Pelodiscus sinensis: one gene and its partners. The protein of the gene in region 2 binds, or shares a complex with, the protein of the main gene of each other region. Links are inferred from orthologs where the notes say so. Each region holds a gene or a part of one and is shown on either strand. Other genes may lie near its edges. The genes, in order: DRC8, DRC4, DRC7 and DRC10.

Region 1 (7,874 bases), on a different chromosome or scaffold from region 2:
GGACCCAACTTTGAAAACCCACATCTTAGAGAGCACAGAGACAATGGATGCCTCATGACTCAGCAAAGCATTAGAACATGTGATTTATGACTCCATATTTAGCCAGTATTTTTCAAGGCACCTCGACTGGGAGTATAAATTAGAGACTGTGACATCATCTCTGTGCCTCATTCCTGCCTTTCATCTCTGGGCTGAGATTTCTAACAAAGGCAGCTTGACCACTGTATTGTGCCTGAGGAGTTTATACTTGCTACTTAGCTGGGGGGAAATCTATGTATAGAACACACAACAAGTTAGGGGTTTGTGCCTGCTTCTTAACAGTCTGCCTTGCATTTGTATTGTTGCTTGTGAGCCACTCCAAACAGAGCCACAAATGGAGAATATTATCAAGTTGTGCAATCAATTAAGGAAGCTAAGAGAGAACAAAAGAAGATGGATGAAACTGCAAGACAGCAATATTCCCATGACATGAGGAATAGATGCACTGATTAAAGTGGCAAAAGAAAATTGGCTTGAACAACAGTACATTTATATACACAATTCTTTGCAGTAAATGCTACTAGGAAAGCTTAACAAATCATCAAAATTCCTTGAAAGGGTTCCCTCACAGGAAAAATACCATTTCACTCAACACTTGGGTAGGTGTCACCAATAACTGTATAATATGAGCAAAACAAACTCTAAGTTGGAAATGAAAGAAGCAGAGTGGATCTGCCTGAAAAGCTTGATTTTCCTGATGAACTTTTCCCCTACTATCTACAAAAGTAGAAGATGTGGTGTGGACTTTGAAAAACAATAAGGTCTCTACAGTGGATAACACACAAGCAAAGTGGTAGAGAGGCACTCATCTGGGCATACCATAAGCTTGTCAATGTGATTTGGGAGTCTGAAGGATGGCCCCAAATTTGGACACAATCACTGATGTTTTCTATTCCTAAAAAGGGGGACCCAATTATTATTGACACACCTGAGCAAAATATTATTGCACATGATCCTGAAGAGAGTTGCACCCAATAATTTTCTCACTGAAAAACAAGCTGGGTTTGGACCTGGAGCAAATGTTTAGCCTGTCTGTGCTATATGTGAAAGTGATGGAGAATGTTGGCAAGGTGGTCCATACCTCTGTGAATTTTGCTAGGGCATTTGACAGCATAGAACACAACCACTTCAGGCAATCTTATGTTTCAGTGAAGTCGGTGAAAAAATAATAAGGTGGATACAATATCTCTATGAAAATGCAATGGCTTCAGTATTTGTGGGGCATGAGCAAAGTAGTTGGTTTGATTAGTGTCCGAGGGGTTGCATGATATTACAGACATCTTCAAGAAGTTTTAAGAAAACCCCTCTGTGGATGAAAAATTAGTCATCTGTGCTTCACTGATGGTATTCAGCTGATGGGATCATTGTAAGAAAAGGTGCAAAAACGGCTAAAAAGAGTAAGGTCAAAAGATATTACATACACACACACACAAAACCAAACAAGGACAATGGTGAAATCTAAGTCCACTGAAAAGGCAAAGATATTCCTATCCAAATCTGCAACTTCTATTTGAAGAGCATTGAGCACTTCAAACACGTAGGTAGTATGACTAGAAGGGATGGTAAACATCACTTAGAAATCTGACATGAAGCTGGAATCACAATTGTTGCTCTAGCAACACTCAGCCACATTTGGAGAAGCAAAGGAATTACCATGAAGTGTAAAATTAAATTGCTGCAGTATCTTGTCCTCAGCATCTTGCTACATGCTTGTGAGAAATTGATGCTTAGGCTGTCTACATTACTCCTTTTGTTGGTAACTTATGTTGCTCAGGGTTGTGAAAACACCACAATTGGAGCAACATAAGTTACATCAACAGAATTGCTGGTGTGGACAGTGCTATGTCAGCAGGAGAGTGTCTCCTGCCAATATACCTACCATTGCTTACTGGCGGGGGGCAGGGAGTGTTAGTTATCTCTACAGAAGAGCTGTATCCCATTGAAACAGAGCAGCTACATGAGAGACCTTGCAACAGCACAGCTGCCTCAGCGCATCTGTGCCACTGTAAGCTCTGGTGTAGACATTGCCGTAGGAAACAGGGCACTGAAGGCAGGAAGTCTCTTAAATTGAAAAGACACAAGCAATTGCTGCACATTAGTTATCCCTTATACCTGATTAATGAGGAGGTACTTGCCCAAATTTACAGCAGGACTGGAATGATACCTGATATTATCAAGATGATCAAAGAAAATTTGAGTTTGCAAGACATTTGGGAGAGCTGAGCTGAGCAAGACTCCTGAAGCAAGTTTGTAGAGATTGGTGCCAACTTCAGGGAGGTGCTCATGGCTAAGATGGTTCAATGATGTTGTGGCTAATTAGATGGGATGCCATATGGCACTCTTCTCAAGGCTATGTGAAGACCATGAAATGTGGAGGGAGATTATTGGCCAAAGACTGTCATTTGTTGTGTTTACTTTTCATTATGATGTGACTCTGGTGCTTTGCATTAAGGAAGATAATGTGTGTAGTATTTAGAGTAGCTTTGCTCAAATGTTACTAATCCACTAAACCATTCAAGAGCATGAGATGATGTTTCACTAAGCTAATTGTCTGTTGTATTAGGGCTCTTATTATGCCCATTTTTTATTCTACATTATGTTTTAATAAATGACAAAGGCAAAATAACTGATTGCAAGGGGTATCATGGTGTGGTCATTTAAAAAAATAACTTATATTACAGTATTACAAAAATATAATTTGTTTTAGGAAGCAAAGAGCTCTGGTTCTGTTCAATTTTATAGGTGAACTGGTTGTAAGTTTCTATTATTTTGCATGATCTCTGAGCACAACATAACTATGTTTGTTGTGGGAAAAATAATCATCACCCCTTCTTTGCTGCACTTCAACATTAGAAAAAGCAGCTGCTTAGGGCAAGGACAAGGGTCTAGTTCTAGGACTTTTATAATCAATGTTCTTGCTGTGAAATCCTAAATGAATACTATGGTTGTTATCTGAGTGAATCCTTAACTTAAACATTAATATCCCTAAATAATTTTTTCTCATTTAAGAAAATAGCACTCTGAAATAACTGAGGCACCACTTTTCAATGCAGCTTGATTGTATTCTTGTGTTTATATTTTGTATTTTTTAACTTTCAGAGTTGATTTTGAGTTTGAAAAGCCACGAACTGCATGCATGTGTAAATTCTCAGCCAAAATTTTAATCTGGATTTTCCCTCAATGTCAGGGGATATAAAGAAAACTTTAGCTATGTCGGTTTTTCTTTATTTAAGCATAACATGTCTTTTAATTTTTCAGTGCATAGATGGAGAGTCCTTTCACTGCTGCCATGTGCCATTTTAAAAAGCCTGATTCTGTGAAAGGGCAAGATTGTATAATTCACAGCATCACATTATTTATTTGAGGGAGACTACCCCAAAAGGAAACACTTTTAAACAGGAGGAGGCTTTTTGATAGAAAACGAATATATTAGGGACTTATGCTGAAAATAGCATGAAGGGAGGTTGCTTACTACTGAAATCAATAGGACTCTGTGGCAATAATAACTATTTTTCATAATGCTTGCAGGACCAGGACCATGGACTTTTCTTCTTCAGTGGTGCCAATTCTGCTTTGAAATCAGACAATTTCTAAAGAGTGAATGACTGTTAACATATTTTTTTTCAATATAGTGATGGCAATAACAGTGTAATACTAAACATAAAAAACAAAAATTCCACAACTAGATTAAATATTTGGGAGTAGCCAGCAATTTGAAACTTTTACACAGAAGTGTGCTGACTTCTATACCCATTATCCACAGGCCTGTAATCTCCTGAAGAAGATAAAACATAATGGCCAGATTCCAACAAACCATCATTTTAAACTATTTTATTCATTTTTATATTGTTTGGTTGTAGTTGCAGTGTTTCTGTAGAATTAAGCATTGGGGCTAGGGCGAAAGACAGACAAAAGAGTTTATTTATTGTTGTTGAAATTAGTGGGAGCTGTGGTTTTCAGTGGTTACTAAGTTAAACCCAAAAGGGGATTCCTTCATTGGTGCTACATAGACATGGATATATATCCACTGCAACGTAAACTACAGCGGCCTATTTTTGCTTTGCAATGTACGTGGACTTTTAATTGAACTTCACAAGTGCGCTACAAACTTGTATGATAGACAGTGGATCACAACCTTTCCAGACTAAACCTTTATCCCCCTTTAGGAAGCTGATTTGTCTTGAGTACCCTGAAGTTGCATGTCACTTAAAAATGACTTGCTTATACAATCAGAGATAGAAATACAGAAGTGTTACAGCACACTACCACTGAAACATGGCTTACCTTTCAATTTCTACAGTATAAAGTAAATCAATTGAAACTATTGCACTTACATTTCAGGATGAGGTATATCAAACAGTTTCAACAAATCATTGTCTGAAATTTCATTTGCTATGGGCTGTGCAGGAATGTAGCCTGTTGTAAAACTAGCCAAGTCTCTAGATGAGTTGATGCATCTCCTGGAAGACCTCTACATACCCCCTGATTGAGAACCACTGAGTTAGGCAGGGAGCTGGACAATCACCTTAACAAGTCACTTCCCCTCTCTGGGCCTGCTCCCCCTGCAGCAAGGAGGGGCTGACCTCAGCCTAGGGGACCTGATAGCCACTGAACCATTGCAAGCCCTGATATGATGGAAAATTCTTCAAGTCGGGGCTGCAGCACCCTTAGCCCCAGCACCTCTGTCTTGCTGTGCAACGTCCCTACAAGGCTGGGGCTGGGCTCAGGAGTAAGCGGGGGTGGCTGGAGCAGGCTCCCTGCTGCCAGATAAAATACATCCCTGGAAGGGGAGGGGGAGGAGCGTCAGGGGCTCCCCCCCGCATGGGACAGGAGGCTGCAAACTCTGCGGGGAGAGCGAGAGTCCCGGGGGCCGGGCCGGGCTCAGCCGGAGCTGGGAGCGCGCGGGCGCGGCCAGGCCAGCAGCAGCCGCTGCCGCGTTGCCATGGTGACGGCGGCTGCGGGCCGCCATGGCGGAGGAGAAGGAGGGAGCCGCGGCGGGTAAGAAACCGCCGGGGCCGAGACCCGGCCCGGCAGCGGCTCAGCCCCCGCCCCGCCAAACCCCCGAGAGAAGGCGCCGGGCAGCAGCGCCCCTAGTCCCAGCACCTCTGTGTGGCCGCGCAGGGCCAGGAACCCCGGGCTGGGCTGGGCCCAGGAGGAAGTGACTGGAGCCTCCCCACCCTACGCCCTCTGCCGGGGCCCCTCGCGGGGCGATGCACCGGGACACGGGGAGAGGGTGAAGGGGGGGATGGACACGGGGACACGGGGAGAGGGTGAAGGGGGGGGGATGGACACGGGGAGAGGGTGAAGGGGGGGGATGGACACGGGGACACGGGGAGAGGGTGAAGGGGGGGATGGACACAGAGACACGGGGAGAGGGTGAAGGGGGGGATGGACACGGGGACACGGGGAGAGGGTGAAGGGGGGGATGGACACGGGGAGAGGGTGAAGGGGGGGGATGGACACGGGGACACGGGGAGAGGGTGAAGGGGGGGATGGACACGGGGACACGGGGAGAGGGTGAAGGGGGGATGGACACAGGGACACGGGGAGAGGGTGAAGGGGGGGATGGACACGGGGACACGGGGAGAGGGTGAAGGGGGGGATGGACACGGGGACACGGGGAGAGGGTGAAGGGGGGGGATGGACACGGGGACACGGGGAGAGGGTGAAGGGGGGGATGGACACGGGGACACGGGGAGAGGGTGAAGGGGGGATGGACACGGGGACACGGGGAGAGGGTGAAGGGGGGGATGGACACGGGGACACGGGGAGAGGGTGAAGGGGGGGGATGGACACGGGGACACGGGGAGAGGGTGAAGGGGGGGGGATGGACACGGGGACACGGGGAGAGGGTGTAGGGGGGGAGGTTGGACACGGGGACAGTAGGAGATGGTGTAGGGCAGGAAGACCAAAGATGTCTGGGTCAATTTATGGAAGGAACATTTTGGTAGGTTTGTTTCTTCACATTCTTTGCTGGGATTGAAGAGTGTTCCCGCCCCACCTTTTTGTCTGGCCCCTGTGCTTTTGTTTCCTTTCATGATGCCTCACACATAGTCATTACTTACTTCAGGGAGTTCACATCAGAGTCTAGAATGAAAAGGCAATATCAGCTCATGCCTCAATCAAGGAGAAACCAGCCCTTGTTTTTAGTCTCAATTTTTGGATTTATAGTCTTTCAGTTTGACATTGTAAATAAAAAACAATCCTTCCTTCTGCAGTGCTTTGTTAGTATAATAAAAGTCATATGCATCACCGTAGTTTGTAAAATGATTTAACAAACTATACACAGCACCATACATGATGAAAGTAATTCATCCACCACTGAAGTGTATTTGAGGGGAAGGGATTACTTTTGGCCCTTTACTCTAGGGCAAACCTTACAAAAAGTATCATGGGATTGTTAATGACTTTGGGGAGCAGACATTTGGTTTTACCACAGCAGAAATGCATTCACAGTAAGCTGTTTGCAACTCTATCTACCTTGGACAGCAAACAAACAAATTGATCCTCTTGGGATCTGACTTTGTGTTTCCAAAGGATCTAAGTAGTTGGAATCTAATGTTTTGACCAGTTAGCTGTTCCCTCTGCTTGTACAATTTATTATACTTCAGTTTCAAATATAGCTAGTCACCACTGCCAAGAAAAAGTAATCAGTGTGATATTAAATTAAGTGATAATGTTCATACTATTTCAATATAGAAGGCATTAACAGATGCTATGTTTAATGGACCACAAGTATGATTTATAACAAGAATATTCAAACATCATGAATGCTAACCTCATCATATCCCAAGATAAATCAGAAATACAATTTATTTGCTGCATTAGTCTCAATAGTTTTATGTATTTTAATCTTTAGTCCGCATTTTGCCCCCTACTAATAGTAGTTGTTATTCAAAATTTGCGAATTCTACATATTGTATTTGAAATAATCAAATTTCAGTAGCAAACAATGTAATGTTTGTTGTTAATTATGAAAAACGGTATAATCAATAGAGCAGTGCTACAGAAATATTTGCTGTTAATTGCTGTGATGAGGAATTGGAAATTATTGTTATATGTATGTCTAAGCAACCTATTACTATTAGATGTAGGCACCATGCATAAATTAAGAAATAACATCAACTTTCTTTCAGAATAAATAATTGATTTTTTTCCCTCTTTCCATTCAGTTATATGGGGCTAATAAATGAGTAGTTAGTTACATCTATATGGTTCATTTGGCCCTGTAGTTAGAGCCACTTCATGCATAAATCTTACGGGAATGCCTACCAAAAGGGAGAGGTCTTGCATCATGACCTGAAAGTGTAAGACTTGGTCTCATCCTGATTTCTGCTGGTAACAGATTCCACAGCTGAGAGCCTTCTATTTACTGATCATTCGCTGGCAAATTATCACTGGTTGTATCAGCCAGTGTTCCTGTAGAAAGAAGGTATTATGTGAATCGAAGAGGGCCTTTGAAGTAGGTTGGCCCTCACTTAAACACACAGGGCTTTAAAGATAAGGACTTTAATAATAACCAGAATTATCCAGAGTAGAGCACAGAGTATTGTGATGTACTTGCAGTGGTCTGCTTAGCAGACTAGCTGCTGCATGTTGTGGTATCTCTAGTTTGTGGGTAGACCTTTGTCTCAGGTAATTTGGTAGAGTGATTTGCAATAATCCAGTCTCAAAATAGTTACTGTGGCTACTTCCACATGTTGTAATGTAACAATACTTAGCTATTATGCATTAATTTTCATCTGTACTTAGGCCTTATCTACATGTACTAGGAGATCAGTGCTGTGGGGATCAGTTTCCTGGGAGGGTCAAGTTCATGGGTCTAGTAAAGACCC
Region 2 (7,964 bases):
GGCCGGGCTCCGGGACCGGGGGCGGCTCCCTGCGGCGCTGCACCTGCCCGGGCCGCGGGTCCCTCCCGTCGCCGGTGATGGGCGCGGGGCGAACCAGTCCGGGCGCGCCCAGCAGCAGCCGGGGGCCGAAGGAGGCGCCGGGGCGGGGGGCGCTGCCCCAACTTTCCCTGGGGCGGGGGCCCCAGCCGGGAGCCGCCACCTACCTGCGGTCCCCGCTCCGCCGGGAGCCTCCATCCGGCCGGGAGCCCGGGCGGCGTCAGGCCGAGCCTCCGCGTCCCCGCAGCGCTGCGCCCGCGCCGGCCCGCATGGCCCCGCCGAGCCCCGCTGCCCAGCCGGCGCTGCAGCGCCACTCAGCCCGCCGCGGAGCGGGGCGGGGCCGCAGCGGGGGGCGGCAGCGGGCGGGGGAGCGGCGAGGACAGGTGCAGCGGGCGCCTTTCTCCCCCTCCCCGCGGCTGGCTCCCCCCGCTCTGCGCTGCTGACAGCCGGGCCGGGCTCTACCTTGGCCGTGGAGAGGCGGGGGAGTCCGCACTTCCAGGGGTGAAGGACGCGCCGGTGGGGTCCATACGGCCCCCCAATGCCCCTTCTTGCTCCCACCTCCCCACAGGGGGGGCTGATGGTAATGGGAGAGCCCCCCCCCCCACGCCCTCTGGTTTGGTGTGGTCCTGGGGCAGGGGCTGCTGCCCCACAGAAAAATCAGTCGGGGGCCCACAGAAGGGAGACACAAAACAAAACCTCACTGAGGGGGCCCCGACTGAGGAGACAGACTCCCCCCTCATTCCCCCGGGGGGGGCACAGGCTAGGAGATTGTGTGCTCCAGCCTGTCCAGGAGGTGGGGGGCTGGAGCACCAGCCTGGGATCCCCAATGCTGCGGGGGGCTGGGCCTTGAGTCAGCAGACTCCTTTGCCGGCTCACAATGCGGAGTCTGGAGCCCCTGGTGCAGCGGGGGCCACGTGTGTTCACCCATCCCCAGCAGGGATGTTACATTTGAGTTAATTGAATAGTCGAGTAACCTCATAAATTCTGATCGGTTACTTGACTATTCTATAGTCCCCGGGGGCGGGCCGGCAGCCAGTTCACTCCAGCCCCACTCCCGAGGAGCCCCCTGCCACTCTGCACTGCTGCCCCTCTCAGAGACAGCAGCGTGGGGTTCCAGGTGGGAGCTGGTCCGCGAGGGGAGCCAGTTTAAAAACCAGCTCCCTTCATGGACCAACTGCCTGCTGCTCCACGCTGCTGCCTCTGATACAGAGGCAGCAGCATGGGGTGGCAGCAGCCCCTGCCTGGGGTGGGGGTCTGAGCGCCCAGACATGGTGCGAGCCAGAACTGAAGCAGGCTGCCAGCCCGCCTGGCTCCTAACATGCTTTAAATGCAGAGCTGCCATAGGGGGAGGTCCTGGACCTGGCACAAACCAGGACTGAGCTGGGCTGCTGGGCAGCCTGCTAAAAAACTACACTATTATATCCCTAATCCCCAGCAGGACCAAATATGCAAGGGTGGGCCCCGTTGCTGGGGACAGGGCCCTGCAGAACAGGGTGGCGGGTGGGACCTGGGAGGGCTAGTGGCTGTGGCTCCAAGGGGAAAGGATCGGGGTGATGTGACATGGAGCCCCGAGCAAAGGAAGATGCTGTTGCTGCATACAGGCTCCGGAGCCAGCAGCAGGGTCGTGGCAGGCAGGGTGCCCGGGCGGCACAGACCGGTGCCTACTGAGGAGAGGTCGGTAGGAGGGGAGGGAGGAGTGCCCGGAAGGGAGCTTAGGCTGAGCAGTGGGGGGGGGGCTGTTTCTGAGGCCCAGTCCACACCTCAAAATCAGATCAACTTAGCCCCGCGGCCCAGGGTGTGAACAGGCATGTGCTCTGTGCGATGGTTAGGCCGGCCTGACCCACCCCCAGGGAGGTGCCGCTAGGCCTGCAGGAAGCAGGGTTCTGCTGAAAACCTGCCTGCGGTGGGCAGATTAACTGCCCTGACAGAAAGCCCCCTTCGGGTGACATCCGAAGCACCCCAGCAACAGCAGCACAGCTGTACTGGAGTCGCCAGCTGTGTCATCTGTCCAGCCAAGCCCCTCGCCAGAAGGGCCCGCCGAGCCGTCTGGGGAAGCAAGGGAAAGCAGATTGCACCTGGCTTGCTCACCGGCTGGGGGGCTCAGGGGTCCCTAACGGGCATGCCTCCATCAGTGGTCCCCATGGAGCTTTGCTGGGGTGGAGACTAGGGCATCAGAGACAGCAGAGCTGCTGGGGCCCTGGGTGTAGACCTTGCTGGCCCCGCTATTGCATGAGCCTCAGTGATGCCATCCCATGAGCTCTGATTAGTAAATCTGTGACGCAGTGTCAGTACCTTGCTGGTCACTATGCTTGGGCTGTGGGTGACCCCTAGTGGCCAGTGTCCGGAGCACTGCCCAGCAGGTGGGCTGCCTAAGACCTGACCGGTCTGACCGGTTGAGGGCACCAAGGGAACTAGGAAGTGAGGGTTGAGGGAAGGGTCAGTCTGGGGCTGGAATCATGAAGGAACCAGTCTAAGAAGGGGGTTGGAATCTAGGGGCCCTGAGACCCCATCTTAAGGGGGCTGAGGCATCCTGGCCCAGACTCCTGTAGACACATCGCATCTGTGCTGTTTCCGGGAGAAGCAATAAACCCCTCTCTATTCTACCGGCTGGTGGGTCTGTTCTTGCTGCTATGGGACTGCAGGATCGGAGGAACCCCAACACGTCCTCACATAATCCAAGCACCTGGGAAGCTCCCAGGCGGGGCAGCCTTTCACATCCACCACCTCCACTCATATCCCCCACGGGTACACTGCCCTGGCTGGGATGAGCCGTGCATTTGCTGGATGTGCTCTGTCCCCTGCTCTCTGATGGGCTAGATCTCCGGGGTTCCTGGCCTGTGAGTCCCATTCATGCTTGCCATTCCAAGGCGTCCCATTGTGTCCCCCAAGTCCATCCCTCATACACACCCTGCCAGGAGCAGCACCTCCTGCTGGCTGCCAAGAAGAGACCTCTCTGGAGCTGCCAAGTCAACGTGACAGGCGCTGGGTGCAGGGGGGGATCAGGGCAGGTCACTGAGTAGGAATTTAGGCCACATTGGTCAAACCCAGGTGCCTATGCTCCAGTCATAATTAAACTGCAATGTATTCCATGAGGGCACCGAAGTCTGGGAGGTCTCCCTCTCCGCAGGGCTCAGCACAGGCGGGAGGGGGAACTTGGTACCATGCAGACCCCAGCCCTGGTATTTGAACATTCTTGCTGTGCAGCCCTTCCTGGGAAATTAGTGCGAGTTGCCATCTATTGTGGAGCTCCCTGGTGCTGGTTTTCCCTGCTCTGTTCTTACTGTCCTTGATCTAGGCCGAGAGGCAGGAAAATCCTGTGCATCTACTATAAGAACTCTATGGTGTATAAAGCACCCACAGGGCATAGCTGCCTCATCTCAGGATCCCTGAATCCGCATCAGAGATGCCTCCCACTCGGTCCTTCCTGGGAGAGAATCTTGCACGGTTGTCTTGGGATGCCCATCTTAGGGAGGCAAATCCCAAAACTCAAAGGGCTTTGAAGCAACAGCATTAATTGCATCTGGAAACTCACTGAAAGCCTGCTGTAGAGTGCTCTCTGTGTGAAACCTTGCTAGGCAAGAAGGCAGCTGCATATGCTGAGGGTCATGGCTGGCAATGTTCCCTCTAATTTTTTCCATCCATGTGTGAAATAAATTTTATGTGCATTGAGCCATATGCAGATGTGCACCATCAATGCTGCCAGCCATGGAAGGTTGTGGGTGCTTTGCTAATCAGCCAGAAGGCATTTTAATCTCTTCTGGGTGGCTGCCCAAGTGCTCAGCTTACAAGGAACACTAATGGACAGCTTTTGGGTGTAGTGCCACACAAAAGTGCATGCTGCCTCTCCCTGCACTGAGACCAGGATCCCCTGAATCGGGTGAAGGTTACACCAGAAAGATGCCTGTGCACTGGCATCTTGGGTTGTTATGTGTTCGCACCATGATCTCCAGACCCACACTGTTCCCTTTTGAAGTCAAGAGGAAGTCAATTAACTGCAAACTCCCCCTGGGACCTGACAATCCAGCTGTTCCATTCACCTCTGCCTCCCCCGACTGAGGAGTCTGCTGTTAGATCATCCTGGCCTGATGGCTCACTGCACAGTGCAGGCTGGACTCCAGCTGCTTCTCCCATGGCTGTGATGCACCTGAGTAGATGCTTATAGCCTTAATATGCCTCACGGACATCTGGGGAGCAGATCTGGGAACTTGGTATAGGCCCCTAGCTAGAGTGAAGCCCTAAGAGACCCAGTGAGTCCACAGGGCCCGGAGTTTGGAGGGCCCTCGGCCTGTCCCCCTAACATGTACAAAGGCTGAGTGATTTTCCTGATCAGTCCCATCCTCAGCATCTGTGCATCTTTGTGGTGCTCCGGGGAGCAGAGGGGCACAGCTGGCAAGAGCCAAGGAAGCCCTGGGCCTCACACACAGCTTGCTGTGCACGGTGAGTGGGGGGATACTGCAGCGCAGCAGGGGACGGGGGGCACACCAGGCAGGCCACAGCTGGAGCGCCCTGCTCCACGGAAGCTGTGGCTGGCGCTCGGAGCATGGCAGCCTGGGGGTGTGTGGCCAGGGGCAAAGCACACGAGTGGATGCCGAGAAGACTCGGGCTTGGCCAACGTGCCGGGTGCAAGGCTGACGGGCCACGGGGCCTTCCCCTCCCCCTGGAGCCGGGGAGCCGGGCACCAGCGTCCCCCGTGAGCGGGGCCGCCCCAGCTGGGCCGCTGCTCCTGGCGCTGCCCATGCGCACGTGGAGCGACGTGTTCCGCACGCGGCCGGGAGGGGGCAGACGGGCTGCACCGCGGGACGCCCGGGCAGGGGCGGAGCCAGGGGTGGGCGGGGCCAGCGGCCCAGCGGCGCTCAGGGCCTAGAGTAGCGCTGCCGGCGGTTGCCAGGGCGGTGACGCGCGTTGCTATGGGCAGGAGCTCTCGCGAGACTTGCCCGGCGGTTGCCAAGAGACGCGGTGACTCTGAGCCCGCGCCCCAGCAGCCATGGTGAGGGCTGGGGGGTCGGGGGGGCCCGGGGGCAGCAGGAGGGGGGGGGTCGGGGGGGCCCGGGGGCAGCAGGAGGAGGGGTTCGGGGGGGGTCGGGGGGGCCCGGGGGCAGCAGGAGGAGGGGTTCGGGGGGGGTCGGAGGGGCCCGGGGGCAGCAGGAGGAGGGGTTCGGGGGGGGTCGGGGGGGCCCGGGGGCAGCAGGAGGAGGGGTTCGGGGGGGGTCGGAGGGGCCCGGGGGCAGCGGGAGGAGGGGTTCGGGGGGGGTCGGGGGGGCCCGGGGGCAGCGGGAGGAGGGGTTCGGGGGGGTCGGGGGGGCCCGGGGGCAGCAGGAGGAGGGGTTCGGGGGGGGTCGGGGGGGCCCGGGGGCAGCGGGAGGAGGGGTTCGGGGGGGGTCGGGGGGGCCCGGGGGCAGCGGGAGGAGGGGTTCGGGGGGGTCGGGGGGCCCGGGGGCAGCGGGAGGAGGGGTTCGGGGGGGGTCGGGGGGGCCCGGGGGCAGCAGGAGGAGGGGTTCGGGGGGGTCGGGGGGGCCCGGGGGCAGCAGGAGGAGGGGTTCGGGGGGGGTCGGAGGGGCCCGGGGGCAGCGGGAGGAGGGGTTCGGGGGGGGTCGGAGGGGCCCGGGGGCAGCGGGAGGAGGGGTTCGGGGGGGGTCGGAGGGGCCCGGGGGCAGCGGGAGGAGGGGTTCGGGGGGGGTCGGGGGGGCCCGGGGGCAGCGGGAGGAGGGGTTCGGGGGGGGTCGGAGGGGCCCGGGGGCAGCGGGAGGAGGGGTTCGGGGGGGGTCGGAGGGGCCCGGGGGCAGCGGGAGGAGGGGTTCGGGGGGGGTCGGGGGGGCCCGGGGGCAGCAGGAGGAGGGGTTCGGGGGGGGTCGGGGGGGCCCGGGGGCAGCAGGAGGAGGGGTTCGGGGGGGTCGGGGGGGCCCGGGGGCAGCAGGAGGAGGGGTTCGGGGGGGGTCGGAGGGGCCCGGGGGCAGCGGGAGGAGGGGTTCGGGGGGGGTCGGAGGGGCCCGGGGGCAGCGGGAGGAGGGGTTCGGGGGGGGTCGGGGGGGCCCGGGGGCAGCGGGAGGAGGGGTTCGGGGGGGGTCGGAGGGGCCCGGGGGCAGCGGGAGGAGGGGTTCGGGGGGGGTCGGAGGGGCCCGGGGGCAGCGGGAGGAGGGGTTCGGGGGGGGTCGGGGGGGCCCGGGGGCAGCGGGAGGAGGGGTTCGGGGGGGGTCGGAGGGGCCCGGGGGCAGCGGGAGGAGGGGTTCGGGGGGGGTCGGAGGGGCCCGGGGGCAGCGGGAGGAGGGGTTCGGGGGGGGTCGGGGGGGCCCGGGGGCAGCAGGAGGAGGGGTTCGGGGGGGGTCGGGGGGGCCCGGGGGCAGCAGGAGGAGGGGTTCGGGGGGGTCGGGGGGGCCCGGGGGCAGCAGGAGGAGGGGTTCGGGGGGGGTCGGAGGGGCCCGGGGGCAGCGGGAGGAGGGGTTCGGGGGGGGTCGGAGGGGCCCGGGGGCAGCGGGAGGAGGGGTTCGGGGGGGGTCGGGGGGGCCCGGGGGCAGCGGGAGGAGGGGTTCGGGGGGGGTCGGAGGGGCCCGGGGGCAGCGGGAGGAGGGGTTCGGGGGGGGTCGGAGGGGCCCGGGGGCAGCGGGAGGAGGGGTTCGGGGGGGGTCGGGGGGGCCCGGGGGCAGCGGGAGGAGGGGTTCGGGGGGGTCGGAGGGGCCCGGGAGCAGCAGGAGGAGGGGGTCGGGGGGGGGTCGGAGTGGCCCGGGGGCAGCAGGAGGAGGGGTTCGGTGGGGTCGGAGGGGCCCGGGGGCAGCGGGAGGGGGGATTCGGGGGGGGGTCGGAGGGGCTCGGGAGCAGCAGGAGGAGGGGGTCGGGGGGGGGTCGGAGTGGCCCGGGGGCAGCAGGAGGAGGGGTTCGGGGGGGTCGGAGTGGCCCGGGGGCAGCGGGAGGGGGGATTCGGGGGGGGTCGGAGTGGCCCGGGGGCAGCGGGAGGAGGGGTTCGGGGGGGGTCGGAGGGGCCCGGGGGCAGCAGGAGGAGGGGTTCGGGGGGGTCGGAGGGGCCCGGGGGCAGCGGGAGGGGGGATTCGGGGGGGTCAGAGGGGCCCGGGGGCAGCAGGAGGAGGGGTTCGGGGGGGGGTCGGAGGGGCCCGGGGGCAGCAGGAGGAGGGGTTCGGGGGGGGTCGGAGTGGCCCGGGGGCAGCGGGAGGAGGAGTTCAGGGGGGTCGGAAGGGCCCGGGGGCAGCGGGAGGAGGGGTTTGGGGGGGGTCGGAGGGGCCCGGGGGCAGCGGGAGGAGGGGTTCGGGGGGGTCGGAGGGGCCCGGGGGCAGCGGGAGGAGGGGTTCGGGGGGGGTCGGAGGGGCCCGGGGGCAGCGGGAGGAGGGGTTCGGGGGGGGGTCGGAGGGGCCCGGGGGCAGAGGGAGGAGGGGTTCGGGGGGGTCGGAAGGGCCCGGGGGCAGCGGGAGGAGGGGTTCGGGGGGGGTCGGAGTGGCCCGGGGGCAGCAGGAGGAGGGGTTCGGGGGGGGTCGGAGTGGCCCGGGGGCAGCAGGAGGAGGGGGTCGGGGGGGTCGAAGGGGCCTGGGGGCAGCAGGAGGAGGGGCACGTGCCCGCACATGCATGCCCCTAAGCCCCCCAGTGCTCAGGCTGCTCCATAAGGCTCATTCTCCCGAGGGCAGCTTGTGAGCCAGGAGCCCCAGTGCAGCGCTGGTGGAATGGCTTTGGTGTGGAGATTCTTGCACCTTTACAGACCCTCCTGCACTCTGGAAGCTGCTCAACGGGCACTGGTGCCAGGATCCCCCCTGTGCCATCTCATTGATACAAATTGCATTCATGCCCAGCAGCAGCCAGGTGGCAGTGGCACCTCCGCAGGTCTGAGCTAAGCCCCCCGTCACATGTTTTCTTTTCTTTTCTAAGGCGCCCAAACAGAAAGGTGGTAAGAAAGCCAAGGCTGCAGCGGTGGTGGATGCCGTCCCCCC
Region 3 (6,857 bases), about 43 Mb from region 2:
CAGTCAGGGGCCACACACAAGTGAGAAACAACCCCCCCCCAAAACAAACAACTCCCCCACTGATGTGGCCCTCGACTGAGAACCAGAAAGACACTTCCCACATTCCCCTCGCATACCAGAGCCTAGGGGGACCCGGGCTAGTAGATTTTGTGTGCTCCAGCCCCTTAGGAGAATAGTGGGGGGACTGGAGCATCAGCATGGGCTCCCCAATGCTGGGGGAGAGCCCTGAGCCTCAGGGGCCGGATCCAGGCAAGCCGGGGGCCGCATCTGGCCCCCGGGCCTTATATTCGCCACCCCTGTTTTAAAAGGATAGGAAGAAGTAGCAGTTATGGAATATCCTGTCCATAGGGGAATTTCTTCCTGACCCCTTGGAGTTAGAACCTGATTGGTGCCATGAAGCATGAGGGTTTAGATCCCTTCCAAAAGACCTAATTATTTTAATCCTTACTCCGACTACTCTGGAGGTTCCCATTACCCTTATCAATGTCCACTTCATTTTTAAAAAAATCCTGCTACGCTATTGGCCTTGGTGTTATCTTGTGGCTAGTTGTGCATTGGGGAAAAAGTAGTTCTTCTCAGCCACTTCAGATGTGCTGACCTTGAGTTGTGGAACCCCGCTACGGAGTATTGGATAAGGCTGTGTTGAGGGCAGAGAGCGCATGGCGGGTCAGGGTGTACACGGGGAGACTTTTAACATTTCAATAAATAGCAGGCAGCAGAAATATACTTTGAAGACCCCAAGATGCAGAGAATCCTCCAGCTGTGATCTGTACCCCATGAAGGTTTTTCGCCTTCCTCTGTAGCATGGGGTAGAGATCACAGCTGGAGGATTCTCTGCATCTTGGGGTCTTCAAAGTATTTGAAGGCTTCAATATCTGAGATATAGGTGAGAGGATTATTCTAGGAGGGGTGGGTGAGATTTTGTGGCCTGCACTGTGCAGGGGGTCAGACTAGATGATCATAATGGTCCCTTCTGACCTTAAAGTCTATGAGTCTATATCTCCAAGGCCTGTTGTGGGGTTTTTTGGTATGTGTTTGGTTTGATTTTTTAAGCTTAAATTGATCCTACTGTGCGTTTTGAAGGCTGGGGAGATAAGAAGTGAAAATGGAGACGCAAGCCGTCTCTTTATCGGGCACTGTTTTGGTTGGCAGCATGAATGGCATGTGGAAGGAAGCCAGCCGGAGAAAGGCATTTATTGAAGAAATGCCCCCGAAGGGTGGAGAGGACGGAGTGGTTTCACATTGGACACAACCTGGGCCATTTGCTGGAGTTCTCCCTGTCCTGGGCTTTGGATTACACTGCGCCAGCCAGCCAGAGTGGAGGATCCGGCAGGAACAAACCAACTTGTCCCATCGACAACCTCATGGCTGTAGGTCTCTTTTATAAGATTTGTCAAACTCTCCTGCCGTCTGCATGAAACTCTCCTCTGTCTGCTCCCCACCCCGCTTTCCTCTGAGTGTTTGTACTGACCGGTCGTACTGATGCAGCCTCCGCCAGGGCTGACTGTGCAAGGCGCTACACCGGGACACGGAGGAGGGCACGCGCTCCCTTTTCTGTTCAGAGCAAACAGGGCTCCCCTCCTCTCCCAGGCATGGCTCCCCCGCCCAATTCCTTTAATCACTGCCCTGTGCAAATGGTTCACTTTGCTCCTTCTGCCTTGAAAGTCTGGCTGCTTGAGGTCTGCTGCAGCAGCCACGGTGGAGGAGCGGGAAGCAGGGCTGGCTTCACCATGAGGCGCACTGAGGTGGCCGCCTCAGGTGCCAGATTTTGGGGTGGGGGGCGCCACTAGGACCCAGAGTGTAGAAAATTGTGTCTGCTGCTGGTGCATAAGTAGGGAGCAGAGCAGCCCCATGAGAGGAGGAGAACAGGAAGGAGGCAGAATTGAGACCTTTCAAAGTTTTGGCCCAAGCGAGGGGAACATGGGGGTGTCATTTGAGCTCCCTGCCTCAGGTGCCAAAATGTTGTGGGCCGGCCCTGGCCAGAGGGAGTCCAACCTTCCCCTCCTCAGGAGCAAACCCCTGCCCCTCGCTTTCCAGCTCCCAAATGCTCCCACCGTGCCAGCCCCTCCCTTCTTGCCCCCCCCCCTTCTAATCCGCCCTCCCTCCCCGGCTGGGATAATCTGGGAAAACGGCCTGGTTTTCGGTTCTAAAAACACGCTTGCCTGAGACACCAAGGCCACGGGTGATGGCGTGTCCTGCCCTCCCCGCAAGCCCTCCAAAGTGTGACTGCGAAATGGGGTGCTCCCTCCTGCCCCCTCCGTCCTGGGTCCTCTGGGTGGCCCTCCCCTTGCAGACACCGAGTGCCTATGGGGAGACACGTGGGCTTGGAAGGGGAGCAGCCCCCCACCTCTTCGGGCTCTGCCGCAGCCCCCCGCTCTGCCCAGGGGACACGGCACAGGCGCTGGGCTTTTCCGGGGATGCCCCTTTTCTGCACCCTGCCCTCGGTGTCTCCTTGCTCCGGGACAGGCCCCTGTTCCCCTCACCCCCACCCCTGCCTTTGCCACCCTCCGTCACACACACGCACAGCCCCTCCGGAGGACCCCCCGCCCCCCGCCTCCGCACACAGCCGCCTCGCCGGCTTCTCCCACCTGTGAGTCTCCCTCGCCATGGCAACCGCCGTCCAAGGGCCGAGGCTTCTGGGAGCTGTAGTTCCTCGGTCGGGAGCGGTTCCCCGCGCGGAGACCAGACTAGGGCTGGGACTGGCCGTTCAGGCAGGACCGGTTTCCTTTCTGCGTCACTGGTGGAGAAATGGGGAGAACATGTGACATCGGGGTGCACGTGGGCCCAGGCCGGGTTTGGGGCAGGCCCCGTTTGCGCTGACTGAGCCTGCACCAGACCCTGTCTCGGCACACGTGGGACCGAATGGTTGTTTTTCCGCCGCGGGGGCACCGGTTCACCTTCCACATCTCCCGCGGACCGAGAAAGGAGTCCAGCCAATTTCCCCCTGTGCCTCTGATCAGTTTTACTGTCAGTCAGGAACCTCTCCCCCGCTCCGGAGCAAACCTGTAGGTGGTGGGGTCCCATAGCTGGCCCCATTACGACCGTGGGCTCTCGCCATGTGGCCCACTGTGGTTCTGGGGTCCTGCCGCACTCAGGGTCCTGCCAGCCCCACTGCGGCCAGGGCTGCTGTGGCCCAGCGTGGCTGGCCACCACCAAACTTAATTGATAAGCTCACATCACTAGTGCAGGCTCTGGGCTGGGGCAGGGGATTGGGTTTGGGGTGCAGGCTCTGGGAGAGAAGGTGGGTGTGGGAGAAGGTGAGGAGTGCAGGTTCTGTGAGTGAATTTGGGGCTAGTGAATTTTGGGGGGACGGGGTGCAGGAGGGAGTTGGGAGGTGAGTAGATGAGTGGGATGGGGGTGCAGGCTCTGGGAGAGGGTGGGGCCCAGAAGGCAGGAGTGGGGGTGCAGCACTTACCTGGGGCACCTTCTCTGGTAGCAGCTCCTAGGTTGGGGGGATTGAAGAGGGGTCTCTGTGTGCTGCTGCCCACAGGCACTGCACCCACAGCTTCCCATCAACTGCAGGGGCGCTCAGAGCAGGGGCAGCACACGGAGATACCCCCTCTGGGGCCTCAGGGACAGGGATGTGCCAGCAGCTGTGCAGAGCAAGCAGCTGGAAGCCACCCTAGCCCTGCAATACAGGTGGGGACCAGGGTCCTTCTAAACCACATGGGCATGGCAGGCGGGACTAGTAGATGCATCAGGGACGGGAGAGGGGGACAGGGGGCAGCAAACGGGGCCCAGGATGCAAGAATCAGGATCTTGCTTTAAAAAATTAAATTTTTAGAGTAATCCACACTGGGCTCTTTTCTTTGCTCTCCATTTTCTGAAGCTTTAAGGTTCCCTCCCACCATGCACTCGAGCTTTGGGCTAGAGAGTCGTCCTTTCATACCTAAGCTGAGTGTGGCTGGCACATGTGTGGGAACAGGGTTTGCAATCCAGTTCTGTCTGTGTAAGAAAGAAAAAGCTTCCTAGTCTCACTGTTGTGTCCAGAGCAGCACCCCCCAGCCACGGAAACCTGCTATTTTCACAGACAAGGGTGGGGCGGGAGGAGAATGCAAACTCCTCTCTCGGGGAGCCACAAGTGCCACGAATGTGCCAGTGCTCATGGCTCGTGCTCCAACAGAAAAAGCTCCTTCCTTCAATGCAGCTGATGCAGGACGCTAAATGGGCCCAGATGCCAGGGCCGGCCCACAACATTTTGGCACCTGAGGCGGGGAGCTCAAATGACGCCCCCATGTCCCCTCACTTGGGCCAAAACTTTGAAAGGTCTCAATTCTGCCTCCTTCCTGTTCTCCTCCTCTCATGGGGCTGCTCTGCTCCCTACCCCCGTAAAGGAGAACTAACAACTTAAAATGCCTTGTTCACAAAGCGTGAACTAGTGGCACCCCCACAGTCTGGCACCTGAGGCGGCTGCAGGCAATGGGGACAGCTGTGGGTGAGCAAGGCACTGCTGGTCTGGCAATGGTGAGTAGAGCAAATGAAATCTCAGGAGCGAGGAGGGATCTGTTTGTGGCTGTTGCTGGATTTCGCTTCCTCATCGTTGCTTGCAAGAGGGCAGCTCTGTTTACTTGCCTCCTGAAAGCCATTGGCAGGGCTTCCTAAAGGCCTTCTTATGAGCCCCTGTTCTCCCTTTAAATAAAGGGCCTGGTTTCCTCAGCTGCTTGCACCTTGTCCGGTCCTTTAACCTCAGGCAAAGTGAGTGCAAAATGCTGCTGCATCAGCCTGCTTGGCTGCAGAAGGCACAAGGCAGCGGGGAAAGTCTGATCCAAGTGCGGCTCTTGCCTGCTAGCTCTTTTGGCTTTTATTGCACTTGGCCTGCGTCTGTGGGGTAGGACTCCTGGGCTAATAATAGAGCTTCTCTGTGGTATGCCCTCACTGATCAACTTGTGCTCTAATAATATTCCCATATCCCAGATGGGGTAAGTGAGGCCTGTGACCTGTCCAAAGTCTCCTACTGAGTCAATGACAGTAGAGTCTTCTCCAGACTCTTAGCTGTGCAGCCAGTAACAACGCAGGTGTAAAAAGTCCTGGGTCAGGCTGGTAACTGCTTACACCTGCATTGTCCCTGGTGTTAAGGACAGTGGAGTCAGACTGGCGTTCTATCCACTAGCCCACGCTGCCTTCTAACAAGCTTGCCAATGCGGCGGCCCCTTCAGTGTCAAACGGCTGCACTCTTGAAATAGGCAGCTGGGAGGGTGAGAGGTGGTTGATTTGCCTCCTTTTTCTGTTTGTGAGTAAATGTATGTTCCCTTAACAGCCACATCCTCACTCTCGCTGGGCAAAGGGCCCGCAGGAAGATGCTGTTTCTCTTGACATTTGCCACTTCCTTGGGACGCTCACAACTCTTCCCTCCTTCTGTCTGTGTGCACGGGAGCCCCGACCGTGGGATTTCATTGCAAGCGCTCCGCTGTTAGTAGTGGCCTCTTGTCACTTGTCTGGGTTTATTTGTGTCTGCATGCTCTCTAAGTTGGGGAAGAGGCTGGTGGTGGCGTATCTCTACTGGCTATGCTGCTATAAAGCTGGAGAAAATCTGGCCCTGCACTAGCTGGTGAAGACGATTTTGCTGTTCAGACCCTTCAGGTCTTAGGTGATTGGTGAAGTAACAATAGACCCGCCCCCCTGCTTTTCTAGACGGGTTAAACGTCTCTGCCCCTTCTGCAGCTGCAGGGAGGCTTTTAAACAGCTGCTTGTGTTTCCAGAGGCTACAGAGGAGCATGTTAGAAATCAAAACAAAAGCTGGTGTGTGTTTGTTTTTTCAGGAAGTGACTGTGACATGCCTGCTGCTTCTCTCTGCTCTCTGGCTGCCTGGCAGCGAGAGCGACAATTGTGAGTCTATGCTGGGGGATACAGGGGTAGGTTGAATAGTGAGGACAAGAAATCCCATTCAAGCTACTTACCCAGAGCAGGGCTAGTACTGGTAGCTTCTCCCAAGAGCAGAAATGCTGGCAGGGAGGAGGGCGGGTGGAAGGACACCAAAACGTATAGCTCTGCTAAAGCGTTGGTGGCAGCAGTGGGAACTCTGTATCTTGTTGAGGGGAAGCCCTTTCTCCGCCAAGCCAGAGCTGGAGGTTCTGCATCTCCAGTAACAGTGGAGGGCAGCCACACACCATGCTGAGCTTCGGCTGCTAATGAGCTCAGCTCTAACGCGGGACTCCTGGGCGTTCCCTCTCGATGGGCACTGCACAGGCGTTGTCTTGGATGGAGTGTCCCAAGGCGGTTCCGTCATCCGTGGGAAGGTTCTCCTGGGATGTGAGCAGCGACTTAGAGAATCCCCATCTGTGTCAAACGAGATCCCCTCCCCACCGAGCCGAACATGGACTCCAGCTTAGATAGGTTAACTGTAGCTTGTGCCGTGACAACCGCTTAGTCCCGATGACCTCGAACATCCACACGTTCCTCCTGCTCTAGCCGATCTGAAGAAGCTGCAGGACCCGAGGCGAGAGGCTGCCCTCCGTCCCAAGAGAGGCCTGAGATTGTGCTTCCCGAACCCCTGTAAGCACCAGGGAGTCTGCCAAGTAGTTGAGGGGAAACCAAACTGCACCTGCAACGCTGGCTTCACCGGGGCGTTCTGTCAAGGTAGGCCGGGGGCCACGCTGCACGTGGTCTGCGAGAACGTGTCCATTCGAGTGGTCGTGAGCGGGACTCGCGCCACTTACGGGCTCAAACAAGTGTCAGGAGGAGACTTTCCCTTCCTTGGTGGGATTATGCAGACAGGACTTGTTGAGCTGTCAGAAAAGTGTATCCCTGCAAGAAAGTGACCCAAAAGTGTTGCCTTGGACCAGTGGTTCTCAGTGTGGACTACTGGTGGTCTGCGACTGTCTTGCAGGTGGGCCACAGGCTCAGAGCTCGTTCTTCCT
Region 4 (7,961 bases), on a different chromosome or scaffold from region 2:
TGGAGAACTATGTTTGAGTGCCTGAATCTAAATATGCAGGGATTCATTTTAACTGTTTTTAGAATTAGATTTACCCAGTACTGTTTGGGCCCTTAACTTCATTATTTTTTGTTTTTGGAAAATAAAATGAAAATGCTTCATTTAAAGCATGCATTGGAGAGGGCGTGAGGATGAGGGGTTCAGTATGCATCAGAGCAGCTTGGGGCCAGGTGAAAAGCACCTCCCCATAGCTGCTGCGGCTCCACCAGGTACAACCTGGGGAGGGGTACATGTTCCCAGGCTGAGACAAGTCCTGATTTGTGCCCCCTACAGTCCCCAGCCAGATTGAGGATTGCAGCAAACTGCACTTTCCCCTTGCTCCCTGACAAAGAAGAACAGTCAGCAATGTTCCCATATGAATTGGGGGAAGGAGGCACGACTTCAGCCCACTCTAAAGAGGGCCTGGAGGGGAAGGGAGAAAGTGGCTTGGCGCTGAGGAAGTCCCAGATGGGGGGCAAATCCCCAGCTCACCCCTTTCACTTGCCTGGTAATTCTGTTTCTTTTCTATATGGTTTTATGAGAAGGCACATTCCATTTTCCTGGCACAATCAAACCCTTACCTTGCTTTTAGTCAGTAGTTCCCAATCTTTTTTATACTGTGGACCAGCAAACCCATTCACAAACTTTAGGCAGACTGTTAACATTTTATTTGCTTCCTTCTGCCACCGTCTCAGCCCAGTGCCGCAGCCAGCAGCAAGATCGGCCACACAGGTGGTGAGGGGGAGGCCAAGCCACCAACTTATCTGGGTGGGAGCGGGAGGAAGGCTCCTGCTACCACTTCTGTCACAGTGCAAAAATCAGTCTCTATGGGTGCTGGAGATAGTTGAGCCTCTGCAAACAGCCAGCTTCAGCTCTGGCAGCTGCTGTAGCCCAGCAGCCAGCACCGTGGACTGGCTGTTGGGAACCGCTGCTTTACGTTATGATAAGAGAAGGCTGTACACTGTATTTGGTAGCCCTAACTCTGTTTTGGAAAAGTTCTTGAACAAATAGACAGACATATTCTCTCAACTATATTGTAGATATAACTATTTCTAATTCAGAATGTGTATTAAGAAATATTTTAGTGACTTCCACTTTGAGAGGCAACAAACAGAATATAGTTTAGTTTACTGGCCTTTCCTACAATGACCTAGGTCTCTAGTTTGAAATGTTTAGTCTTACCACCACTGTACCTCATCATCTCGACTCTGGATTGCCATTGCAAGTTCTGCCTCTAATGCTGCAATAGTTTCACTGTTTTTCTTTTCCTGGAGGGAGATTTCTTCCATGAATTGAATCTTTTCTTGTTCTTCTAAGGGACTAGTCAGGAGTTTCTCAAATAAGAAACCCCGGAATTCTGACAACCTTTTGAGAAACATTTCAGATGATAAATCCCTAGCATAAGCCTCGTCTTTCACAGCTTGAGAAGCTATAGGGTCAGCCTGAAAGAGTCTCAGAATATTTCTTATAGAGCTTTTTACAGCTTGTTGATGCAATTGAAGACGGCGGTCAGTTCCTACAAGGTCCCCTCTTCCATCATCCTGCTTCAGGAAACCTTCTCTTTGAAGCTGGGTAAGTAAAGCTTCCATGTTGTTTGAAAGCCGCTCATGCTCCTTAAGGGTACCTATGAGCTCAGATCCCAGGATAGTGCTTAAATCACCCACACATTCAGTAATGTGAGAGATCAGACTGATCAGTTCTATCTTAAAGATGGTCTCATCCAAAACAGATATGATCCTCTTTGTCTCAACAGTGGTAAGTTTTGAACGAGCTGGATCCAAAAGCTTTAGTGGACTTGGTTTCATCACTGACTTTCTTGGAGTCTGACTGTATCCCATGGAGGGCCTGGTGGTTGATTCAGTTGCCTCATATGGCAACTGGAGCACGATAGCCACCTCTGTTGCCATATTCTCAGTCAAATATTTAAAAGTTCTAAGATGAAAGGGAGCAAAAATCTTCTATATGAATACAGTCACAGAGGACATCTTAATACACGTAGATTTAGATTCCCCTGCTGTTTTGCTGCATGCTCTTCTTTCACAACATTTACCTGAAAAAAAAAAGTTTGATTTTAGCATTAGCATCATGATATACCTTGGCCAAAATTGAGAATGTAAAATTATATGGGGTCTGTCTCTAAGTTTAAAAGCACATTCAGAATATTGGGTCCTTATGCCTATGACAGCCCACCCTCCTGTGCTGGAGGTGAAACTAATTCTAGTGGTTAGCCTCCAGTGCCTGAGACAGCTAATGAGCTGTTTGTTTCCTATGCTGAAAAGTGGAAGGAAAACTCTCCAGCCCTTGTGAGACTAGACTGAGATGGGGCAGGGATGCCCTGCTTTGGGGGGGAAGAGGGCTGGTTGCTCAGTCCCGTTGGAGGCTCCTAGGTCTCTGTGGCGGTGGGTTGAACAGGGGCTGGTCTATCAGAGCAGGTGGCCAGGTTGGTAAGGATGGGGGGGGGGGAGGTGGCCTGAGCGTGGGAATAGGGGAGCAAGCTCCCCGGTCTCCCTGGGTGGGCATGGGGGCAGGAGGCTGCCGGGGGTGCGGGCGAGGTCCCCCAACTCTCTTCACTTGCTCACACCACCGCCGCCGCCTCCCTTCCGGTCCTCTTCCAGCGTGTCTCTGTTGCTAGGTTACCCCTCGCTCACCTTTAACCCCAAACAAAGGAGGCGGGGATAGGTCCTGACTGATTTGCCCCCTCCCTCCATAGCCAATCGCCGCCCTTGTTCGGTAAGTTTAGCCCAGCCCCTTCCTTCTCCGTTGGAGGGCGGAGTCAGGGCAGAGACTTCGAGCCTTCTGTCCAATCCGAAACGGAAAATTTAGCCCTTCCTTTGATGGGCAAGACCAGAGTCCAATGGAAGGACAGAATGAAAGACACCCGGATGCCCCCCTTCCATGAGCCGCTGTTGCTAAAGAACGGAAGTAGGGCCGATTGGTCGGTCTCAGGCATGGGGCGGAGTCCTGAGGGAGACGGCCAATAGGCGGGGTGTGGACAATCGACGGCTGACTGAGGCGAGTTGTTGCAGCGACGGCGGGTTCGGGTCTGCTGTTGGTGCGGCCGGCGGGGGTCGCGCGGGCGGAGTGGAGAGTCCACGCGCACAGTGTGCCGAGGGGCGGGGCCGCTGCACGAGGAGCAGCCGGGGCCGGTGCGTGTCCCTGCGACCCTCCTGGGCAGAGAGCGAAGCTGAACCCCCCGGTGCGAGCGGGTCCCGGGGCCTTGCCCTGGCCCGGCGGCTGTCTGGCCCCGCCTCCCTGGGACTTGCCCCGCCTTCCCCGCGCAGGGCGAGGGGCCTGACTGGCGCCCCCCCGGTATCCGTAGGGCTCAGGAGTGCGGGTTTCGTGTGAGGCTCCTCCCCCCCGCCCCCGCGCTCCGCCCCCCGGGCAGGCTCCTCCCCCCCGCGCTCCGCCCCCCGGGCAGGCTCCTTTCCCCCCCCGCCCCCCCCGCGCTCCGCCCCCCCGGGCAGGCTCCTTCCCCCCCCCGCCCCCCCCCGCGCTCCGCCCCCCCGGGCAGGCTCCTCCCCCCCCGCCCCCGCGCTCCGCCCCCCCGGGCAGGCTCCTTCCCCCCCGCCCCCTCGCTCCGCCCCCCCGGGCAGGCTCCTTCCCCCCCCCCGCCCCCCCCGCGCTCCGCCCCCCCCGGGCAGGCTCCTTTCCCCCCCCCCCCCCGCGCTCCGCCCCCCCGGGCAGGCTCCTTTCCCCCCCCCCCGCGCTCCGCCCCCCCGGGCAGGCTCCTTTCCCCCCCCCCGCGCTCCGCCCCCCCGGGCAGGCTCCTTCCCCCCCCCCCAAATCTATCCCCAGGGCAGGCACTTTGAAAGAGAAACCATAGTGCTGGGTTTGAGGCCATGTGAGCCAGTGGTGCTTCGCTTCTCGCCTTCAGGCTAAGATCAGCCAACTGTATGCTAGGGACCTGCGCCTGCCTCTCTGGGGGTACTCCAGCACCCCTCAGGCGGGGGGGAGGTGCGGCTGAGGGGTGGCGGGATGCAGAGTGATGTGGTGGTGTCACCTTGTTGTCCCTCAGGAAAAATATATGTGGAGAGAGATGCGGCTTCTGCCTATTCTTTATTAACAAACATTGAGAAATGTACCCAGGACTATTTCTGTCCTAAATTAAACCATGAGTGGTGTAGCTATTGTGGTTGAGGCTAAGTTGGATCAAGTTTATTTATTTTTTAAATGGTGAGGGGTTGGTTGTAAACTAATGTTACTAATGAATTTACTTCTCTGAACTATTCTTTGCAGACAACTTGGTAGATTCTTTTTTGTATTGAGACCCCTGGAGATGGGTATGTTTTTCTGCATATTACGTCTAGAAGATGCACCTGGTTGATGGAGAACTTTCTGAGGAATATTTTTGACCAAGTGTTCTTGAAAGGTGGACTGCAAAAGACATTATTTAAAATTCTTAGGAGAGAAACCTGAAAGGAAATACAATGGCTGTAAGCATGGATGATGATGTTCCCCTCATTCTCACTTTGGATGAAAGTGGAAGCAACACCTCAGCAGTCAATGAGCTGGATTCAGAGGACTTGCCTAATGAAAGTAAGACTACTTGATAGGTTTTTTGGGGGGGAGGCGGAGGGAGGGAAGCATAGTTTATTTTCAGTCACCTGCTGTAATTGTGGTTTCAGTTTTTCCCCCCAGCAGTTCCATTGTATTCTTCTTATGGAAATCTTACACAATAATTATTCACAGTCTTAGGAATAACCTCAAGTACCTATTTGGAAATTGTTTATTTGCTCAAAACTCTCATAACTCTAATGAATGTTTTGAGTAGTGAAGGAATAAATGACTTGATCCTTTATATGAGTCTGTGTCATGCAACCTTTGATACTCTCAGGTAATAAATTGAGGAGTTTTTGCCCCTAAGCTGAAGTTTCTCTTTTCCATATCTGTGCTCCGAGCTATGTGTGTTCTCATGTGATGCCATTGGACCAGGCTAACACACAGTATTTGCAGTCATGTCATCGGATGTTTCCCCTAGAACATAAACTTGTCTGTCTGTAGCTGCTGTATTTATTTTTTACTCTTTTGGTTCTAGTCAAGAAATTGATCCCTTATGTAATCTTGCTTCATTCCTGCTCTGCACAGTCTGTCAATCTTAAATTTACGTCCCTGATAATTGAGATTTTTTTTTTATATGGGAAGAAGTGCTAGTATTTGTGGTGTGTATTTTTTAAATAGAAATGAGATAATGCTACCTCTGCCTATTTGCTTGGATCAAATAAACAGGACTTCTTAACATGCGGCCCGCGGTCCATTTGTTTGCGGCTTGTGGTGCAGTTTAGGTTTACATGGGGCTCAACACATGGCCCACAGATGGGATCCTTTGAACATGACCTTAACTGGGAATACACTCCACAACCACGAGGCATTTCCCAGGTGGGGTGAGCACTGAAAGTCATGAGCGGACAGGCTGGCTGGAACAGATGGGGGTACAGGGTGATGGCATTTCTACCTCTCCGGGAGGAGGTGCTGACAGCACTGGGACATTGTGGGAAATGCTGACTGCTTAGGTTTGTGGGCAGAGCCTGAGAAGTGCTGACTGGCTCACACTGGCCACATTTAGGTCCAGCACCCAGCTTAAGGTTTAATCTTTGTATTCATGACCGTCAGTGTGAAAGAAGCTATTGACATATACTTGCATATATATGCAACCCCACATAAGTTTCAGCCCTCCGCATGTGTTGTGAGCATCATTGTGGCCCCTTGGGCTTCCAAAGTTGAGTAGACCTGAATTAACTTACAATTTACTTTAAAAGTAACCATGCATGCTCCGTTCTTGCTATTGGTAGTATGTGCATGAGCTTCTGTATCTGTGCAGACACCGATGAAATCAGCTGGACTCTGCACAGCTTGATTGCTGAATCTGCACACTGTACAAGGATGGGCAAATACTGGCCCACAGGCTGGAAGATGGTTCCCCAGGGCAGGATCCTAGCAGGCCATCACTGCTACATTTAACTGTGCTTCCACAGGTATGGGTGATTGCAGCTTCCGTTGGCCATGGATCTCCATTCCCATGAAGCGGGAAGTGGCATGAGGCCGGAAGAGATCCTCCAAAAAAGCTTCTTCTGAAAGAGAGTGTCTACTCAGGAAAAGCACATTGCTTTTTTGAAAGATAGCATCCGCACTGAATGGATGCTCTCTTGCATTTAAGCTGTAATTACTATGGATGGAGTGGAGTGGCCACCAGGACACCTGTGATTTTTTTCCTCTTTCCTCTTCTTCCTACAAAAGGACTCCCTCTTCCCCATCCACACACGCTCTTTTCTGAAAGAGCTCTTTTGGAAAAAAGTTTCGTCCTTATAGAAAGAAGTTGACCAGTATCAGAAAAAACCCTCTATTCCAATTTTTTTTTTTTTTTTGAAAACACAATTGCAGTGTGGACTTAAGTAAAGTTTTTAATCTAAGATGTGGGAGTACCATGGATTAATATAGAGGCAATAAGATATTCATTGTCTTATTCACTCTGCCTTTTTAATGATTCCGAACATTCAGTTTGCTGTTTTGACTGCTGCTGCACGTGGCGTGGATGTCTTCCACAAATGATCCACAGTGACACCAAGATCTCTCTTGAGTGGTAACAGCTAAATTAATCCCCATTAGATTGTACATAGATGGGTTTATGTTTTCTAATATGCATTACTTTGCATTTATCAACATTAAATTTCATCTGTTGTTGTGTGAGATCCGTTGGAAGCTCTTCAGTCTCCTTTAGACTTAACTGTTTTGAGTTGTTTAGTATCGGCAAATCTTTTGCCACCTCAATGTGTATCCCCCTCTCAGATCATTTATGAATATATTGAATAGGATTTTTCCTAATATAAACTAGAGCTGTGGAAGGTTAACCATAACTGGTAAGCATTACCTGTTTAGGTAACTGGTAACCAGTGGGACCAGGAGCATCTTCCCATCTGCAGTGGGCAGTGAGCTGTGCCAGTTCCCAAGGGGGCCAACCACTGACAGGGGCTGCTTTCTTCCAGATCAGCCTCTCCCAGCAGGGAGCCTGACCCCACTGTGGGTGGGTGCTGCTCCAGTAGGTTGCTGGGAGCTCCCAGCAGCCCCGCTGGATTGATACCCCGCTTTAGTCAGTTAACCCGTTTAAATGATAACTGATTAACTGGGAGTTTACATCTCTAGTATGGACCTGTGGAGGAAATCACTAGTTACCATTCGCCATTGTGAAAACTGACCATTTATTGCTATCTTTAGCTTCCTGTCCTAACCTGTTATCAGTCCTTGAGAGGGCCTTCCCTCTGAAGACGTTTGAGAGACTTTGTCAAAGACTTCTTGCAAATCTAAGTACACTATATCTACTGGATCCCCCTTGTCCACATGCTTGTTGACCTCAAAGAATTCTATTAGATTTAATGAGTCATGAAACCTTGTTACGCATGTTAACCTTTCCCCAACAAATTATGTTTATTTATTAGGGATGTAAGCAAATAGTTGAGTATTCGACTGCTCACATTTCTCCCTCCGCCCCTTGATGCTTCTGTATGAAGGGCAACAAGAGCGGAAAAGGGGGAGTGGGAGCTGACTTAAAGCCAGTCCCCTCTCCCCGCAGCACAGTCTTCATGGTACTGCTTGCTCCCTTCCCCCCATTCCCACACTTCTGCCTCACAGGGGATGCTGCTGCAAGCTACAACTTCCAGGATCACCTCTAGAAACTTTTTTTAAAAACTGGCGTCACATTAGTTATCCTCCAGTCACTTGATACAGAAGATTAAAGGGTCAGTTATAAGCCACCATTAGTAGTTTTGCAATTTTCACAGTTGAGTTCTTTCAAAACTCTTTGGTGAATACCATCTGTTCCTGATGACTTAATACTGTTTATCAGTTTGTTCCAAAATCTCCCCTCGTGATACCTCAATCTGGGACAGTTCCTCAGATTTGTCCCCTAAAAAAGTTTCAGGTTTGGGATTCTCCCTCACATCCTCAGCTGT

What was found.
Region 1: DRC4 (region 2) and DRC8 share a complex: the UniProt entries of both Homo sapiens proteins name them as parts of the nexin-dynein regulatory complex. The link is inferred for Pelodiscus sinensis from reciprocal best matches to the Homo sapiens genes DRC4 and DRC8.
Region 3: DRC4 (region 2) and DRC7 share a complex: the UniProt entries of both Homo sapiens proteins name them as parts of the nexin-dynein regulatory complex. The link is inferred for Pelodiscus sinensis from reciprocal best matches to the Homo sapiens genes DRC4 and DRC7.
Region 4: DRC4 (region 2) and DRC10 share a complex: the UniProt entries of both Homo sapiens proteins name them as parts of the nexin-dynein regulatory complex. The link is inferred for Pelodiscus sinensis from reciprocal best matches to the Homo sapiens genes DRC4 and DRC10.

Annotation. Positions count from the first base shown.
Region 1 is NC_134713.1:132,586,586-132,594,459, forward strand, and holds the start of DRC8 (dynein regulatory complex protein 8), read left to right. Parts: upstream 1-4,869; 5' UTR 4,870-5,006; coding exon 5,007-5,037; intron 5,038-5,142; exon of another isoform or gene 5,143-5,307; intron 5,308-7,874. UniProt on the Homo sapiens protein: Component of the nexin-dynein regulatory complex (N-DRC), a key regulator of ciliary/flagellar motility which maintains the alignment and integrity of the distal axoneme and regulates microtubule sliding in motile axonemes.
Region 2 is NC_134722.1:2,206,863-2,214,826, reverse strand, and holds the start of DRC4 (dynein regulatory complex subunit 4), read left to right. Parts: upstream 1-4,950; 5' UTR 4,951-5,020; coding exon 5,021-5,023; intron 5,024-7,902; coding exon 7,903-7,964. Other genes in the region: DBNDD1 (dysbindin domain-containing protein 1), read right to left, coding at 204-234. UniProt on the Homo sapiens protein: Component of the nexin-dynein regulatory complex (N-DRC), a key regulator of ciliary/flagellar motility which maintains the alignment and integrity of the distal axoneme and regulates microtubule sliding in motile axonemes.
Region 3 is NC_134722.1:45,650,897-45,657,753, reverse strand, and holds the start of DRC7 (dynein regulatory complex subunit 7), read right to left. Parts: upstream 3,008-6,857; 5' UTR 2,589-3,007; intron 2,494-2,588; exon of another isoform or gene 2,348-2,493; intron 1-2,347. Other genes in the region: uromodulin-like, read left to right, coding at 4,420-4,464, 5,760-5,826, 6,409-6,576. UniProt on the Homo sapiens protein: Component of the nexin-dynein regulatory complex (N-DRC) a key regulator of ciliary/flagellar motility which maintains the alignment and integrity of the distal axoneme and regulates microtubule sliding in motile axonemes.
Region 4 is NC_134725.1:14,337,144-14,345,104, reverse strand, and holds the start of DRC10 (dynein regulatory complex protein 10), read right to left. Parts: upstream 3,001-7,961; 5' UTR 2,667-3,000; intron 2,648-2,666; exon of another isoform or gene 2,590-2,647; intron 2,538-2,589; exon of another isoform or gene 2,209-2,537; intron 2,069-2,208; 5' UTR 1,926-2,068; coding exon 1,212-1,925; intron 1-1,211. Other genes in the region: TPCN1 (two pore channel protein 1), read left to right, coding at 4,446-4,554. UniProt on the Homo sapiens protein: Component of the nexin-dynein regulatory complex (N-DRC), a key regulator of ciliary/flagellar motility which maintains the alignment and integrity of the distal axoneme and regulates microtubule sliding in motile axonemes.